2 linked regions of the Alligator mississippiensis genome follow. The protein of the gene in region 2 binds, or shares a complex with, the protein of the main gene of each other region. Links are inferred from orthologs where the notes say so. Each region holds a gene or a part of one and is shown on either strand. Other genes may lie near its edges.

Region 1 (7,735 bases), on a different chromosome or scaffold from region 2:
GCTCCCCACAAAAGTATTCACCCAGACATTTCCACATAAAACCATAACCTGACATAGCTGCCAAACTCACTTAGTAATAAGATCCTTTCTTAACACTCTCTTTGGATCCAAGTTATCCAACCCTGTTGTGTGTCATAACCTCTAAAAGCAAGAGCCCACAATTTACCTGACTAAACAGCCACACCATCAATACCAATGCAAGGATTTTACCTACCCTCCTTGCCCTGTCGACTGAGCTCAATGACTGACTTGTCCAGAGACAAGTAGCGATGGATATGAGCTGCTGCTTGCTCATAATCTTCATTTCGCAGAGCTGTTTGAACCCATCCATGCAGAACTTCAGGTCCAAGATGTCATCAGCTCTCTGGATGGCCTGATAGAGGCGGTTCTGCAAGAATAGCAGTTGAGATTTCCTTCACCTAGCTGGACTAGAAAAGAGAGCTATACAGAAAAGACAATATAGCCAAAGGGAAAGAAAAATGTGACCCATGGAGTAAGGGGTTACGATCACCTTGTCCCAGACAGGACTTCAAGGTCAGCAGGGTGCTGGGTGAGTAACTTGGCGTCCCTAGGTAGCTGATGACTTGAAAAAATCATGAGAATCCCAAAATTAGGTTGGAACCCAAAAAGGTACAGCATATAGAACCAGACTATAGGTCTCGCCTTTATTAGGAAAGAATAGCCTACAGAAATCACAGGGGCTACTCCGCACACTGAAATCTGCAGTCTCGTTTTACAAAGCTCCACTCCGTCTAGTTACCTTGGCAAGATCAAGCTGTCGGACTTTGCTGCTGACATTCTCAGCCAGATTCCAGGTGAAAGTGATCATCCCCGCCAACTGCCTGGCATCCCCCTCAATCAGTTGCAGGTTGGGGCTGGAAACACACATGCAGATAACAGGTGATACACAAGAAAAGCAGATCTGAAGCAGCAAGGCGTTATACGTAATCCCCCATCTTGTGCCTGCCAGCACCAGTCTTTTAACTCCTGTCAAAGAACATGACAGTGGCATGAGTTGAAAGTCAGATCCAAGAGTCTTATCTGGAAGATAGCAGCACCAAAGGGCCTATCTACCTAACATCTCTCTTACTAGCAATAAAGAGGTGAAAGGAAATACAGTAAAAGCTGTTATCCGGCATCCCCCAGGAATGCCAGGGTTAATCAAATATTCCAGTTAATCAAATGTGCACCATCTGGTGCACTCCCTGGGGTCAGTGTGCGGGGGGGGGGGGGGGGGGGGGGGGGGGGGGGGGGGGAAGGAGCGGGCCGGGCAGGCTGCTTTGCCCTGGGCCGTGTGCCAAAGAAGAGGCAAAGAAAACTCAGCTCAGGGCAGTGAAATGGGAAGTCCCCCAGAAGTGGAACTTCCAGTTTCACTTTTGCCACATCCCTTGGATGCCGGTTAATAGAGTTTTCCAGCTAATAAACTGCCGGTTAACACAGCTTTTGCTGTAGATGTATAAGTTTGTCCTTTTTTAGGGCAGGAAGTGTCATTTTGTGCTCTAGAATCCAAGCTTTTATTAAATATAAAGCTCCAAGCCTTATGATTGTAGAAATAACCTATGCATTGAACTCTGCAAATAGATTCATTTGTATATATCCAAATCTACAGACAACCTGAAACAACATATTTGAAGAGGCGCATTGTTCATATTCAGAGATGTTAGTGCTAAAGCCTAATACCAACAATACCCACTGGGAATGACAGCTCATTTTTTGACATTGTAGGAGAGCTGCAAGTATCATTACCTTCATTTATCACAGTGACTCAAAGAAAAGATTATTCTATGGCATCTTTCATGTCAAAGCACTCTTTAAAGGGAAACAGATTTACTCAGTAGTGAAAAAAAAAACAAAACACCAGCATTTGTGGTATAATGAAGCAGCTGTTGAACAACATAGGGTAACAGCATACAATAATTTAAAACTAGAAGGAAAAAATACATATGCATTTGAATCTAGGCCTTTTTCCCCCCAAGCAACCCTCCAAAATACAAAACAACTGAAGAAAAATAAAAAGCAGGGTATTGTCACTGAAGGACTGATGTGTTTACTAACCCCATGCGATGAAGAGCAACCATCTTGTTCTCTATGGTACCCTGTTGTTCCAACAGGGCCTCCAGCTCTTCTTCCACCACTTTCTGAAAAAGAAAGTGGTCCTATGTCACTTTATGACACTTTCTGGCCAATCACTAATGTCACTAGCTTAGAAGCAAACCCTCAACATCAATGTAGGAGTACACACCAAGGAGGGCTTCTGAAAACTCAGCTAATAACACAGTCTGTCAAAAGCCCCAGTGTTCCATCTTAATCTGGTTACATTTACACTCCAGTCTAATTTCAAGGGTCAGTTTTGAAACCTCTATCATGCAATGTTAAAATAAATCCATTCCTACATTGCCTCTCCATACCGAAGATGTTCCTGGCTTAACTGTCTATAAGAAAAGATCAGAGTACAATAGTATGCTCCAAAGTTAAAAAAAAATGTGAATGTTGCATAGGCAGGATAGTCAGTCTGTCAAGGTTGAGGGCAGGAAGCCTGTAAACCTCTGTACCAATCTCTTATGGCCAGCTAATGAAGCTCTAGCAGAGACATCTAACTTTTCTTGTTAGATGCTTTGCCATTATGACACAGGGAAGGGGAGGAGAGGGGTACTCCACCTTTTGGCCCCCCAGGCCAGATGAGTGACCCCACCCTCATGCCCCACATGCTGGGACTGGGTCCTGAGAGGCCAGTGCTGTCCCCTTTCACCTCCTGCACACTGGGATCGAGTCTCAGGGGGCTGGCACAATCCCCTGCATACCAGGATTGGGTCCTGGGAGCCCAGCACTGTTCCCTCCCACACCCATGAGCCAGGATTGAGTCCTGTTGGCCCAGCACCACCCTGTCCAAGCCCCCCACACTGGGATTAGACCCTGGGACTGGCACACCCTCTGGCCTGCTATGTGTGCTGGGATCAGGCACTGGATCTAGCACACAGGGCCTGGGGCTCTTCGTGGCTCCAAAAATGTGGCTGCAGGGGAGTGGTACCAGCATTCCCCTACCACCAAGTTTCCAGACCTGTGGGGAGCCCCAGAGACCAAATGACATAGTGCCATGGGCCACATCTGGCCCACACTCTTTCTTTATGTTATCTCACCAAGTTATACCCAAATGCTTTTCTGAACCAGGAAATGGATGGAATTGTGGTCCTCCCTATATTCTAACACACAAGAACAGTCCTGGTAAGTTGTTTTACTTCCGTTTGTTTTCACAAGCAAAACAGGTGGTCTTGTTTTCACAGGAGGACAAAACTGGATTTGCACTGAGTGAGGCATCAGCTTGCTTGTTTGTACTGAAAAACCATAAATGTGGTGAGGGTCTCTTTCTGATGTCTCTTCTTTCCCCTGTATGTTGGGCTTTTTTTCCCTCCAAAACCTTCACTCCAAGAGTTGTTTGCATACAAGGCTTAATGGCAAGTAACAGCAATTAATTTAAATTAACCCTGGCTGGTCCAAGAGTGGAAACAGATGCCATCTGATTTCCCATTTGTATCACCTTCAAATTTTTTAAGGCAGTATAAATGCAGAATAGACATCCTTGCCCTTTTTTGCACCACCTAATAAGAGAATCAGTGACACAACAAAAGGGAGTAACAGACTCTGCTGCTTCATTGCGGTGGGCACCTCTTACCTTGTGGCACTTACCTTGCTTGGGGCTGACTGGCCAGGGAAAGCCTCTCCTTTCCCCACTGCCCCAGACCTGCACTGTGGGTTTGGGGCAGCAGGGAAAAGTGCTTCCCTGCATAACCAGACCCTGAGGTTAACTGAGCTGGGGAAATCCCAGCTTTCTCTGCTGCTCCACACCCATTCAGTGGGTCTGGGGCAGCAGGAAGTGCTTCTAGTCAGCCAGCCCTGACAGGCCCTTCAGAGCTGTCTGGACAGGGGAAGACCTGGCACTGCTGCTGCTCTAGACTCACGCTGAGCAACGCAATGCGGGTTTTGCCCAATGAAGTGAACGGTGACTAAGCTGTGTGGCACAGCTGAATCACTCCACTCTGCCACTTCTAATTCCAGCCCAAGACAAGGGGTTCATTTGGATGCTTCGCACAGGCTGTAAGGTCTGGGGTCTGCTACAAGATGAGCTAAACCCAAACAGACCAAACCTGGCATCTATTTTTAACCAAAGGTTTAAAACAAATTCTGCCGGGACAAAGTCTTGTATCCCAGGACCCTGCACATGAACAAGTCCATGTCCCACTGAGAGTGCCCGCAAAGCTCCAAGATAACGCTTCTACTCCCAGGACAATTGGAGCTAAATTGGCTAAAATCAGATGGCTGCTGGCTGAGCGTGGCGGCCTCCCGGGGCCCTAGGAACGGACCAGCTCGCTGTCCCGCACGAAGCACGGGCGCAGGATCCGACCGGACGCTTCGCCTCGCGGCTGGAACCGAGCGCGCTGCGTCCGAGCTGCCCCGCGCCCGCCGGGGGCGACCCCAGCCCGGCACCAGCTTCCAGCCCAGTTTCAGGAGAAGCCCAAACGGGGCGGCGCAGAAGGCGCAGCCGGCCCGGCCCCACCTCCTCTGCGCACAGGCGGCCATAGGCGGCCTCCAGCTCCCGCAGGTCGGTAAGCGCCCGGATCCGCTCCATGGACAAGCACGAGCTGCCGCCGTCCGCGCCCGGCGCCCTCAGGGCCCCGCCAGCAGCCGCAGCCATCCTTGCCCAGGGACGTCACTTCCGAGAAATCAAAAGCCCCAGCGGGGTCTGAGCGGTCGTTGGGGCTGCTGCCCAAGGTGCCTGAGGGACACGCAGCCTTCTCAGGTTTGGCTTGGCCGAGCGAGCGTCCCCAGGCAGGAGCGGGGGGGGGGAGACGTCGTGGTTGCGGCGGGGTCAGAGCCGGGCGGAAGATGCCCACGGGGTCCTTTCATCGGTGAGGTCAGGCGATCCGAGGGCAGCCCCGTGTCGCTCGCGTCGGGTGAGGAAGGCCCCGGCGGGGGGCGGGGCGGCAGAGCGCGCGCACAGGGCTCATGGCGCAGCGGCTCTGCGGGCTCGCGGCCTAGGGGAGACGCGCGGCCGCCATCTGTTGCCATCCGCCCGGTAGGAGCCGCCGCTTGCCGCCATCTCGCGTCAGGCCGGGCAGCGCGGGCCGGGCTCGGTTTCGGTACTGTTTCCTCCTGCGCCGGCATCAGCGAAGGCTGCGGCGCGGCCTGGGCGGGAAGGGGCGGCGGGGTTGCCTTCTCCGGCCTGGCGGCCCCCGGACGCCTTAACTGCGCTCCGCTGGGGCTGCCCTGATCCCGCCGCGCCTCTGCGCCCTTCGTGCGGCTCCGGGACCCTCCCCCGCGTGCGGGTCGCGGCCTCCGCGTGCCCCGGCGCCGCGTTCCCAGGGAGGAGGTGCGCGGCTTAGTAGAGACCTGTTCCGAGGCCGGCTCCTCTGATCCCACGGAGGATTTTAGGGGCGCAGTTGCGTAGGCAGTTTTTGGGGGCCGCTGTCACTGTCGTACCAGTCTCTGGGGGAAGCATCTGCTCGGGCAGGGAGGTTTCACTGCTTGTGGGGAAGTGTGGCTGAGGGCTCGGGAGGGGGGGAAACATGTCCAGGGCAGCCTAGAAATCTTTCTCCACTTTTTTTCCATATAATCTTATTAAGGGCATTGTGTGACACAGACAATGGACCTGCAGACTGAAGTGGACCTGCTTTATTTGTTTGGTGTTGTCCTCTTTGTTCCTCAGCTTCTGAGCATGTCTTTCATACAGGGTTTCCCTGATTCCATTGTTTAATTGCCAGCCACACCTTTCATTGCACTGCTTCAGGCTCTGAAGAGTAGGCAGAATGAAGTACTTCAAGCTATGGTTTGTAGTGTTGTAATCCCCTTCCCCCCCCTCCCATTTTAATTAAGAGCAAACTTTACTAGTGAGCACAGCAGTTTGCCTGTTCATGGAGGAGGAGGAGGTTGTGCTGTATTGCTGGCTCTGTCCTGGGTTGTAATCCGCAACTCATCCCTCTTGTACAGGCAAGGCTATTAACGTTGATGAGACTAAAAGTGAAACCTTGCTTTATTATTCCTTCTTGTCAGCTCTTTCAGATAAATTACTGCAAAGTAAGAGCTCACTTTGTCACTAACCTTCTGGGTTAAACCCTCACAAGTAGGGCTAAATGGAATTAAAGTAAACAGGGATCCAGGACTGATAAACCATTATAACACTGTTTGGAAGACCATAGCAGCAGACCATCATAGCCTATGCAGTATGGGCTTGTTGCACACATTCATGTGCCTGCAAAACCTGATACCTTGACTCTATCATAAAAGTGAAATGAAAATTGCATCTATACAAAAAATGACTTTAAGCATGTATTTCTATGTTAAATTAGAACATTTAGCATGAACCCTTGTATATGGCTGTAAGGGATGGAAATATGTAAAGCTGACATGCATTGTTCATTTACAAATGAATTAAATAACATTTTTCAGAAGCATTGTAAGACATTCGTGCAGACTTAGCAGACAAGATTAAGCTGCTGGCACTTTTCTGTTATATTGAAATAATGTGAAAGTAAGCACTAAATAGATGCAACCTGTTTTGCAATTGGATGTATTCCTGATTTCTAGCTATTTTGTTTATTTGCAGTGGACTCCATAATAAAGCTGAAACATACGCAGTGAAGTAGATTTATCGCCACCATGTTTCTTTACAACTTAACCTTGCAGCGAGCCACTGGCATCAGCTATGCCATCCATGGTAATTTTTCAGGTAATGTCTGTTGTCCTGACTGTCTTTTTGTTACAAGTTACTTAAATATAACATTAGTTTTTCACTGACGTTTTGCTCTTGTGCTATTAGCTGGGTTGACTGACATGTTCAAATTGAGGGAGAGATCTGGTCTTGAGAACTTCCAGGAACTTTAGTAATTCGAGGCCTTGTCTTCACTGACTTGGGTGGCTTTAGTTAAGTCACTTTGCTCTTTGTGCCTCAGTGTTCCTGTCTGTAGAATAGACAGCCAAACACTGAAATATCTGGTCATTAATGATTCTAAGTGGCTTTGACTTTCTCTCCTATAAAGTATCAGGTTTGTAACAGTATTAGTATTGTAACATTGGTCTTGTCCTTGCTTGATTCTTCCACTTGCTTATGTTGATTATTGATTTTTCTCATGGCTTTGGCTTCTTAGGAACAAAGCAACAGGAAATAGTTGTTTCACGAGGGAAGATCCTGGAATTGCTCCGCCCTGATCCTAACACAGGGAAGGTTCATACCTTGCTGACTGTGGAAGTGTTTGGAGTCATTCGTTCCCTCATGGCCTTCAGGCTGACAGGTGGAACCAAAGACTACATTGTGGTTGGCAGTGATTCAGGGCGCATTGTTATCCTAGAGTACCAACCCTCCAAGAATGTGTTTGAAAAGATCCATCAGGAAACCTTTGGCAAAAGTGGCTGTCGCAGAATTGTTCCTGGTCAATACTTGGCTGTGGATCCCAAGGGTCGTGCTGTTATGATTAGTAAGTCAATCTAGGGATCTGGTTGCAGCATTTTAAAGGATTGAATGGTGGAAACAACATCCTTGAAATTATTAACTTGTGTTGTCCTTACCTCAAGGAAGATAGCTTTTGCACCATACTTTGTCAGCTGCAGCAGCAAGTATGCCTTGCAGGCAGTTTTCTAGATTTCCAAATTTTGCCATCAAAGATCCAGATGTTTAGAATTGTTCCTGCCTGTAACCATGATTGCACAAATGAATTCTAAAATTAGGCCAATAAGATTTTGAGAA
Region 2 (7,564 bases):
GTTCCAAAATTTTCAGTAACACAAAGAAACTTAAATAAAACCAATCAGAGATCATTTGCTGGAATATTAGAACCAGCCACCTACAGACGTGGGGCGTAAGCTAAAGGGGAGCCTGTAGAGCTCAGCAAATTCAAGTCCTGCCAACCTACATGCCACCCTCCAGCTCAATTCTCCCTACAGGTGGGCACCTATGGTGTGTTGTCACAGCAGCCAGCCAGACTTAGGGATAAGCGTTTGTTTTTCTGTGTTTCCAGGTGCAAGCAAAAAAATATCTAGCTGCAGACCGATTTCTGCTTTTTATCAGTAGCCAACCTGCAAGGTTACCTGTAACCTGGGCAACTGGGGGGGGGGCAGCCTTATCCAGGGGAATGTGGTATATGAAAAGAGGGTATTCTGCTTTCTTTCTGCACCTGAGTACCATCAGATATCTCTGTCCCGCACGGAGTACAGGTTTGTCTCGACAAGGACCTCAGTGTGTGGCAACAGCTTGATGGCAGAGCTGGGATGAGGCTGGTAAAGGGGGCAAGGGGACCCCACAGACCATTGGTAATGCACAGGGGGTGCACATGCACCTGGGATTGGTGGTGCACGCCCTGAAAGCAGCTCTGCTGATGCTGCCGGAGGCACCTGTGGGTGGTCACCACTCCCCACCCACCCCCCTTGCCACCAACACTGCCAGCAGCATCTGCGGGCGGTCACCAATCACCGCTGATGCCACCGCCCCCTGCAGGAGCTCCCCGCTCGCTGCCATGCCCCCACTGCCTGCAAGCAGTCCCCGTGTCCCCCCCAGTCTCCAGGGGCATGCATCATTTATGCCAGAGACCGTGCTGCTACCCCACCCACCCAGTAGTACATGCCGCGGGAGACTTACCCGCTTCTGTTGCTCCAGCAACTCCTGCTCCTTCAGCTTGTCCCCCTGTGAGAGAACAAGGCATGAATGGGTAGGCACCAGTATACTGGGGGAAGAGAGGGCTGGGGGCACCAGGATGGAAGACCACAGCCCACAGCAGTGCCAAAGTGCAGGGCAGCTGGGTCTGATCCTATCCAGAGCTCAGGGGGAACAGGGCCCTCCGCCCAGCCCTGGGATGTGGCTGGCTCTGGGGCAAGTGTCGGGGCTGGGGATATGAGGCCCAGACTTGGGATGTGGCAAGCTTTGGGGCTTGGGATACAGGGCGCCTTGCCCGGCCCCAAGATGTGGCCAGCTCCAGACTAGGAGAGCAGGGCTGAAGATACAGACACCCCAGCAAGCCAAAGACCCACCGCATGCCCTCCTGACCAACAATGCCCCTCTCCAAACCACCCAAGACAGCAGCCCCACAGCTGCTCCCTGTAGCCCCCAGCCCACCCCCCCACACCACAGCCCCCAGCTGACCTGCTTGGCCCGCTCTTCCTGCTGCATGATCATGGCAGCCTGCTGCTGGGCCAGCTTGAGGCGCTCCTCCTCTGAAAGGGCCACGGGGTCCACACTGGGGACACGCAGGGGAGGTCCCATGGGAGGTGGCGGGGGTGGCCCCACCCCCATGGAGTAATTGAGGCCCATGCCTGGTGGCGGGGGAGGGGGCGGTGGAGGCTGCATGGGCATCCCCATCGGTGGAGGGGGCATCGGGATCCCCGAGAGCTGTGGAGGGAACAAGAGAGACAGGTAAGAAGGAAAGCACAGGCTGTCTGCCAGGATGCAACCAGCTGTGGGGTGGATGCTGGGGACTGAATATAACAGAGATGCAGCTGGCTTGAGGCAGGGAGTTGGGGCTCGGGTCCCCTTACCCCATTGCTGGAATGCAGCTGACTCTGGGGTGGGCAGTGGCGCTGGACATACAGGGCCCCTCGCTCGGATGCAGCTGGCTCTAGGGTGGCCATCCCAGCTAGGAAAGGGATACCTCAGCCAGCACCGGGATGCAGCTGGCTCTGGGGATACAGGACCCCTTGTTTGACAGTGGGACACAGCCAGGTCTGAGGATACACTGTGGCCAGCTCTGGGGAAGCGGGAGTGGGGGCCATCAGGACCGAGGGTCCAGGACCTCTCACCTGGGACTGGGATGTCGCTGGCTCTGGGGAGAGCATCGGGAAGGCCCCTCACCAGGATGCAGCCAGCCCAGGTGAAGGGGGGTACGGGTGGGGGGGGGCTCAGGATGCCTGGCACAGCTGCTCATTTTGGTGTCCCATGCCCTGCCTCCTCAGGCCTCTCGCTCTTCACTTGGATGCGGCCAGCTCTGGGTGGGGGGTCGGCGCCAAGCACACAGACCGGCAGCATGACGCCCCCCCACCCAACCGAGGGGCTCGAGGCGACAGAACGGCCTCCTGTGGCTCCTCCACGGGGCCAGGCTTCGCACCCCACGTCGGTATCTGTGCCAGGGACCCCCCCGCCCAGCTTCGACACCCTCCTTACCGGGCCCGTGCGTGGCGGCGGCGGGGCAGGCTTGTCGCCATCCTCTCCTCTCAGGACCGGTCTGCTCAGTACGATGCCCGTCTGAGGGAAGGACACAGGGTGAGCAGGGGCAGGACGGGTCTCGGGGGCCCACGGTGGCTTCCCTGTGCTCCTCCACCCGCCCGGGAGGGGCAGGGCAGGGGCGCAAGGGCACAGGTGTAGGCGTCAGGGCTTGGGTTACAGGGATGAAAGGCTCGTGCCCCCTTCCCCCACCTAGCTGCCCACCCCCAGGCCTGGCCAAGGCTGCCGGGCAGGTGGGGTCCAGCCCATGTTCACGTGCTGGAGAGGTGCGGGGGCGGGGGCTCACCTGCAGCGTGTAGGTCTGCAGCCGCTCCACCAGCTCCTCGCGGCTACCTGCGCACACGGGCCGGGTCAGAGCGGCGGGGCCCGGGGGTAACCCCTCCCCCTCCCCCTCCTTCCCGGGCAGCCCCGGGCCCCGCCGCACCCCCTCCCCCTCCTGACCCTGCGTGGGGGCGCCGATCTCGGCCAGCCGGGCCTGCAGCTCGGCGGGGGCCCAGGCAGCGTATCCCGGCCCGGCCGCGGGCCCCGGCGCGGGCAGCTCGGCCGCGGGCGGCTCGGGGTGCTCGGCCGCCATCTTTGCCGCGCGCAGACCCGGCCGCCACGCACTGCGCAGGCGGTGCGCGACAGAACCTCCGGCGGGCGCGCGCCGATGACGTCAGGGACAAGGGCAGTGCCGCCCGGCCGGATGGGAGCTGTAGGCCGGCTGGGGTGCCGCCGCGCATGCGCTTCCCCGCGGACGGGGCGGGAGGGTGGCCACCCGCGGCTCGTGGCGTGTGCGCATGTGCGGGGGTGGTTCCGCCCCCAATCCCACGGCCCGTCCACTGCTCCTCCCCCCGAACGCCCTTCCCTCCTCTCCCCCACTGCCCAACCCCTCCCCACAGTCCTCCCAGCCCCCTCCCACTCGCCCAGCCCTGCCCCTCCCCCGCTGCCCAACCCCACCCCAATCCCCCCAGCCCCCTCCCGCATCCTTGCCCATCTCCCAATGCCCCCCTCCCCTCCCCCAGGGCACCCAGCCCCTTCCCCACCCCCGCCCCACCCCCCACCTTGCCCCCAAGACCCTGTCCCTCCTCCTGCCCCCCCATTCCCAGACCCCCTCCCTCCTCCTGCATTCGGTTGGCACGAGAGACGTGTTCACAAGTCTGTGCAAGAGCTCCGTGCCAGTTTGCACACAGCTTGCACGGGGGAGGTGCTCGCCAGCGTGTATGAGGTGCACGCGCCTGGTTAAATTCGGCTCACGCAAGAGACACATTCCCAAATCCACGCAACAGCCTCGTGCCAGCTTGCACGAGGGAGGTGCTCACAAGCGTGCGCAAGGGGCACACGCCTGGCTGCATTCTCCTCTCATGACAGGCCCCATCAGGAGCGCACGGGAGAGCCACAGCCCTGCTCGCACATGGCTCACACGAGGCAGGTGCTCACAAGCACGTGCAAGGGGCAGGCATGTAGCCTCATTCAGCTCGCACAAGAGGCACGATCACAAGTCCTGTGTCTCCCGCAAAGGGGCGTGAGGGGGCATGGCTCTGGGCGCTCAGGTCACACTTCCCCAGCACCTCCACCCGGGGCCAGGATGGGGCCTGCAGCCAGGTCTCCCGTGATGGGATGGATGATGACCCAGCCATGCCCTCGGGATACCCCGTGGTGGCAAGAACCCTGGCTCCACAGCGCCCGCTGCAGGGAGAGCTCAGCACAGCCTGATCTGCTCCCCCTCCCACACACCAACCAGCTGCCAGGTCTCCAGCCCTGGTGCCCTCCCCACAGCCCAGCCTGTGGGTGAGAGCCCAAGTCCAGACCCCCAGGGTGTGGACTGCAGGAGGTGAACCCGACCTGGGCCTGAGCCAGGGCTGGGGGAGGACACAGCTGGAACTGCCCCCCCCCCCCTGCACTGGGCGCGTGGGGATCTCCCAAGCCCTGGGTAATCGCTGGGTCTCAGGGCTCTATTGGGGGGCAGTAGCAAACTCCTGGGGGTTAGCATTACCAGATATGCAAAGGATTGTGGGTACTGGGGGGGCATAACAGGCTCCTGGGGGTGGTGTGAGCTGGGGTGGGCATAGCCAGGCATGCAAAGGGTTGTGGGTAATGGGAGAGTGCCTCTGCCTCCCCCAGCCTCCTGCCCGGCAGTGAGCACCAACAGCAGGTGACAAGTGCTTTAGCAATGCGGTGACATCACCTCCTGGGCTAGCCTTCAAGCTGCCAGAGCCACCAATGAGGGCTTGGCACTACCCCCACTGCCTGTTAGGAGTCATAGTCCTCAGTGCCTTTGCATGCTAGGACCTGTAGTTCTGAGGGGGGTGGGCACAGGGCAGCCCCAGCTCACAGGGGGCGCTGGAGCCCCACCTTCTGCCCTTAACTCTGCCCCATCCATGCCCCACATTGCAGCCTCTGCAGGAATTTGAACCCACAGCTCCTGCTTCCTGGTCCAGGGCTGATGAAAGCAGCCCCTGGGGTGGGAAGGGAAGGCCATCCGCCCCCTGCCCCGTGGAGACTGCAGTTTTGGCCCCAGTGGGGCAGAGAAACCAGGAAGCAAGACCCCACACCCCGCTCTGGAAGGACCCTGGGGTGCTGGGTGCTCAGCGCGGAGCGGGACAGCCCTTTCCAGCCAGCACTAGCCACACGCTTTCTGTCTTCACCGGAAAGGCGGTGCCGGGACACGACTGGCTCTAGGGTGGGGAGTCGGCAGCAGAGTATAACAGGTGTGGGGGCACCAGCTCTGGGGGGCACCCAGCTCTGGGGGCGCCTTTGAGCAAGCCCTGCCTAACCGGGCTGGGGGCTCAGCCCAGCTGGCTAATGACTTCATTAGTGATCACGAGGGTGGGACGCTGCCTGTGGGTCCAACTGGTGCCTGGCGGGGGCAGCTGGGGGGGGCGGGGGGGATGTTGTCATCTAGGGAAGGAGCCGCCCCAAGATAAGGTACAGCAGGAGCTTTGGGGCCCAGCACCAGATAAGGCTGGAATGTGCGTGTGTGGCCCTGGGTCGCCAGCATGGGATTGGCCAGTGGTGATGTGTGGCCACGCGGGATTGGCTCATGCCAGGGCGGATAAGAGACTGGTATAAAAGCGCCCCCACCCCCAATCTGGGCCACCCCCCAGTGGGAATGTCCCCTCTTGTCCCTTGCCTCAGTTTCCCCTGCCACCCCCTGAATCAGCTCATTGTCTCAAGGACGTGACCCAGGGTCAGAGGCAGGAGCCAGCGGAGGCCTGGAGCCCAAGGGGTCACGAGCTGGGGGTGCAGGCAGGGGTGGGCGGGATGTGGGAACTGGGCACTGGGCAGCCCAGGGAGCAGCCCTGGATCAGAGCCTGGCTCAGCCGCCCTTGATCGGGGGCCGCGATGTGCAGAGACATCTCGGCCGGGCTGGGCCTGAGCGCTGAGCCCCACCGGCCAGGCCGGGGCCTCCTCTGCACTGCTGGTGTCAGCTCTGCAGAGGCGTGGGAGCCATCTTGACAGCGGCTGCAGCACAGCGTCTCCCTGCTTCTATTCCAGGCTGCCCCAGGCTGCAGATGGGACTCGGACCCAGGTGCTGCCTGTCGCTGCACCCTGGGGCTGTTGTATAGCACAGGGACACATCTGGGGGTTGGGACAGGGCCTCGGGCATGGGCTGGGCTGGATGGGACTTCACAGAGCCTGTCTGGAGGCCATGGGCCAAGCCGGCCAGGCCATGAGGAGTTTCCCTGCCTACCCCCCATGCAGCTGCCTCCCAGGGCACTAGAGTTCCAGCTGAGACCAGAGCGACTGGCAGCCCTTGGGGTACAGAGAGAGGGAGTGTGGGATACCTGGAGGCCTGACACCCCCACCTTTCAGGGCTCTGCCTCTGCCATGAGCCCCTCCGTGCCCCCTCCCCCTCCAACACGGGTCTGAGCCCTGAGCCGGGAGCCGGGAGCCCATCGCCCTGGAGGCCTGGCCGGGTGGGCGGAGAATTCCCAGGCGAAGACGGCGCTGGACCGCTCAGGCATCCCCTGGGAACGTGGGCTGCACACTGGGCCCATTGTGTGATCCCAACCCGAAACACGATCGCGGCTCAGGGAGGAGCAGAGTCCTACAGGCAGCCGGGGCCGCGGGGCCCTCGCTGGTTGTGGATGCTCTACAGGGCTCTGGGTTTCCCAGCCCACGGGGGCCTGGGCTCTGGGGTATACAGCAAGCAGGTTGGAGCTGGGCCAAGGCCCTGTGCCCCAGCCCCACCCCAGAGCCGCCCCCCCCTTTCCCACTGAGCCATCTCCGCCCACTCTGCCCTACTGCCCTTCCTGCTGTTGGGCCTCTGCTCAGAGCTGCTCTTTGTTCAGCTGAAGCCTTCTTTATGTAGGGGAATGCAGCCCCTTGCCCTGCGGTGCCCCTCACTCCCTGCCTCTCCCCTCCTCACTCCCGACCCACAGCCCCCTGCCTCCCCCCTCCTCACTCCTGACCCGCAACCCCCTGCCTCCCCCCTCCTCACTCTCGACCCGCAGCCCCCTGCCTCCTCCCTCCTCACTCCTGACCTGCAGCCCCCTGCCCCCAGCCCTGTTGGTACCCACCACTCCTGACCCTCAGCCCTCTGCCCCCCCATCCCTATCAGTGCCCCTCACTCCTACCCCACTTTGCTCCCCTCCCCAAGGTGTAAGAGAACCCAGGCATCCAGGCTCCCAGCCTCTCCCCCCCTCCCCCTCCCCCTCCCCCACTGTGCTCTGGGTATAGGTGGGCACAGGGCTGGGGGGGGGGGCAGGGAGCCCTTACCTGGCTCCCGTCTGTATCATCCCCCTTGCCCACATGGGGGCACCCGGCTCAGCCCCGCCCCCACCTGGTAGAACAGGTTTGACTGAGCCCTCGCCAGGGCCTGGGGGGGAACTGGAAGGGAACCTGAGCCCCTGGGAGGGGGAGGGGAGGCTAATCCTGCCTGGAGCATGCCTAGGACCTGGGAGAGCCCAGGGAGAGAGCCCAGGCGCCCCAGGCCCCACTCCCTTCCCAGAGTGGGAGTGGGAGAGAACCAGCCTCCCAGCTCCCAGGCACCCAGCTCTAACCACTCACCCCCCACTGCCCTCCCGCAGCCAGAGAGAACCCAGCAGCCAGCCTTCAGGCCAAGCCCACCAAGGGGGGCACCTGGGTCCAGGCTCCCAGCCTCCCCTCTCTTCCCAAAAAACCCAGGCCCCCAGG

Evidence for each region. The genes of interacting proteins can lie anywhere in the genome.
Region 1: SF3B2 (region 2) and SF3B3 share a complex: the UniProt entries of both Homo sapiens proteins name them as parts of the SF3B subcomplex of the 17S U2 SnRNP complex. The link is inferred for Alligator mississippiensis from reciprocal best matches to the Homo sapiens genes SF3B2 and SF3B3.

The regions. Positions count from the first base shown.
Region 1 is NC_081833.1:36,190,185-36,197,919, forward strand, and holds the start of SF3B3 (splicing factor 3B subunit 3), read left to right. Parts: upstream 1-4,719; 5' UTR 4,720-4,795; intron 4,796-4,962; exon of another isoform or gene 4,963-5,071; intron 5,072-5,116; exon of another isoform or gene 5,117-5,135; intron 5,136-5,730; exon of another isoform or gene 5,731-5,821; intron 5,822-6,598; 5' UTR 6,599-6,651; coding exon 6,652-6,721; intron 6,722-7,139; coding exon 7,140-7,466; intron 7,467-7,735. UniProt on the Homo sapiens protein: Component of the 17S U2 SnRNP complex of the spliceosome, a large ribonucleoprotein complex that removes introns from transcribed pre-mRNAs.
Region 2 is NC_081838.1:5,518,918-5,526,481, forward strand, and holds the start of SF3B2 (splicing factor 3B subunit 2), read right to left. Parts: upstream 3,044-7,564; 5' UTR 3,021-3,043; coding exon 2,888-3,020; intron 2,780-2,887; coding exon 2,733-2,779; intron 2,468-2,732; coding exon 2,387-2,467; intron 1,619-2,386; coding exon 1,373-1,618; intron 917-1,372; coding exon 872-916; intron 1-871. UniProt on the Homo sapiens protein: Component of the 17S U2 SnRNP complex of the spliceosome, a large ribonucleoprotein complex that removes introns from transcribed pre-mRNAs.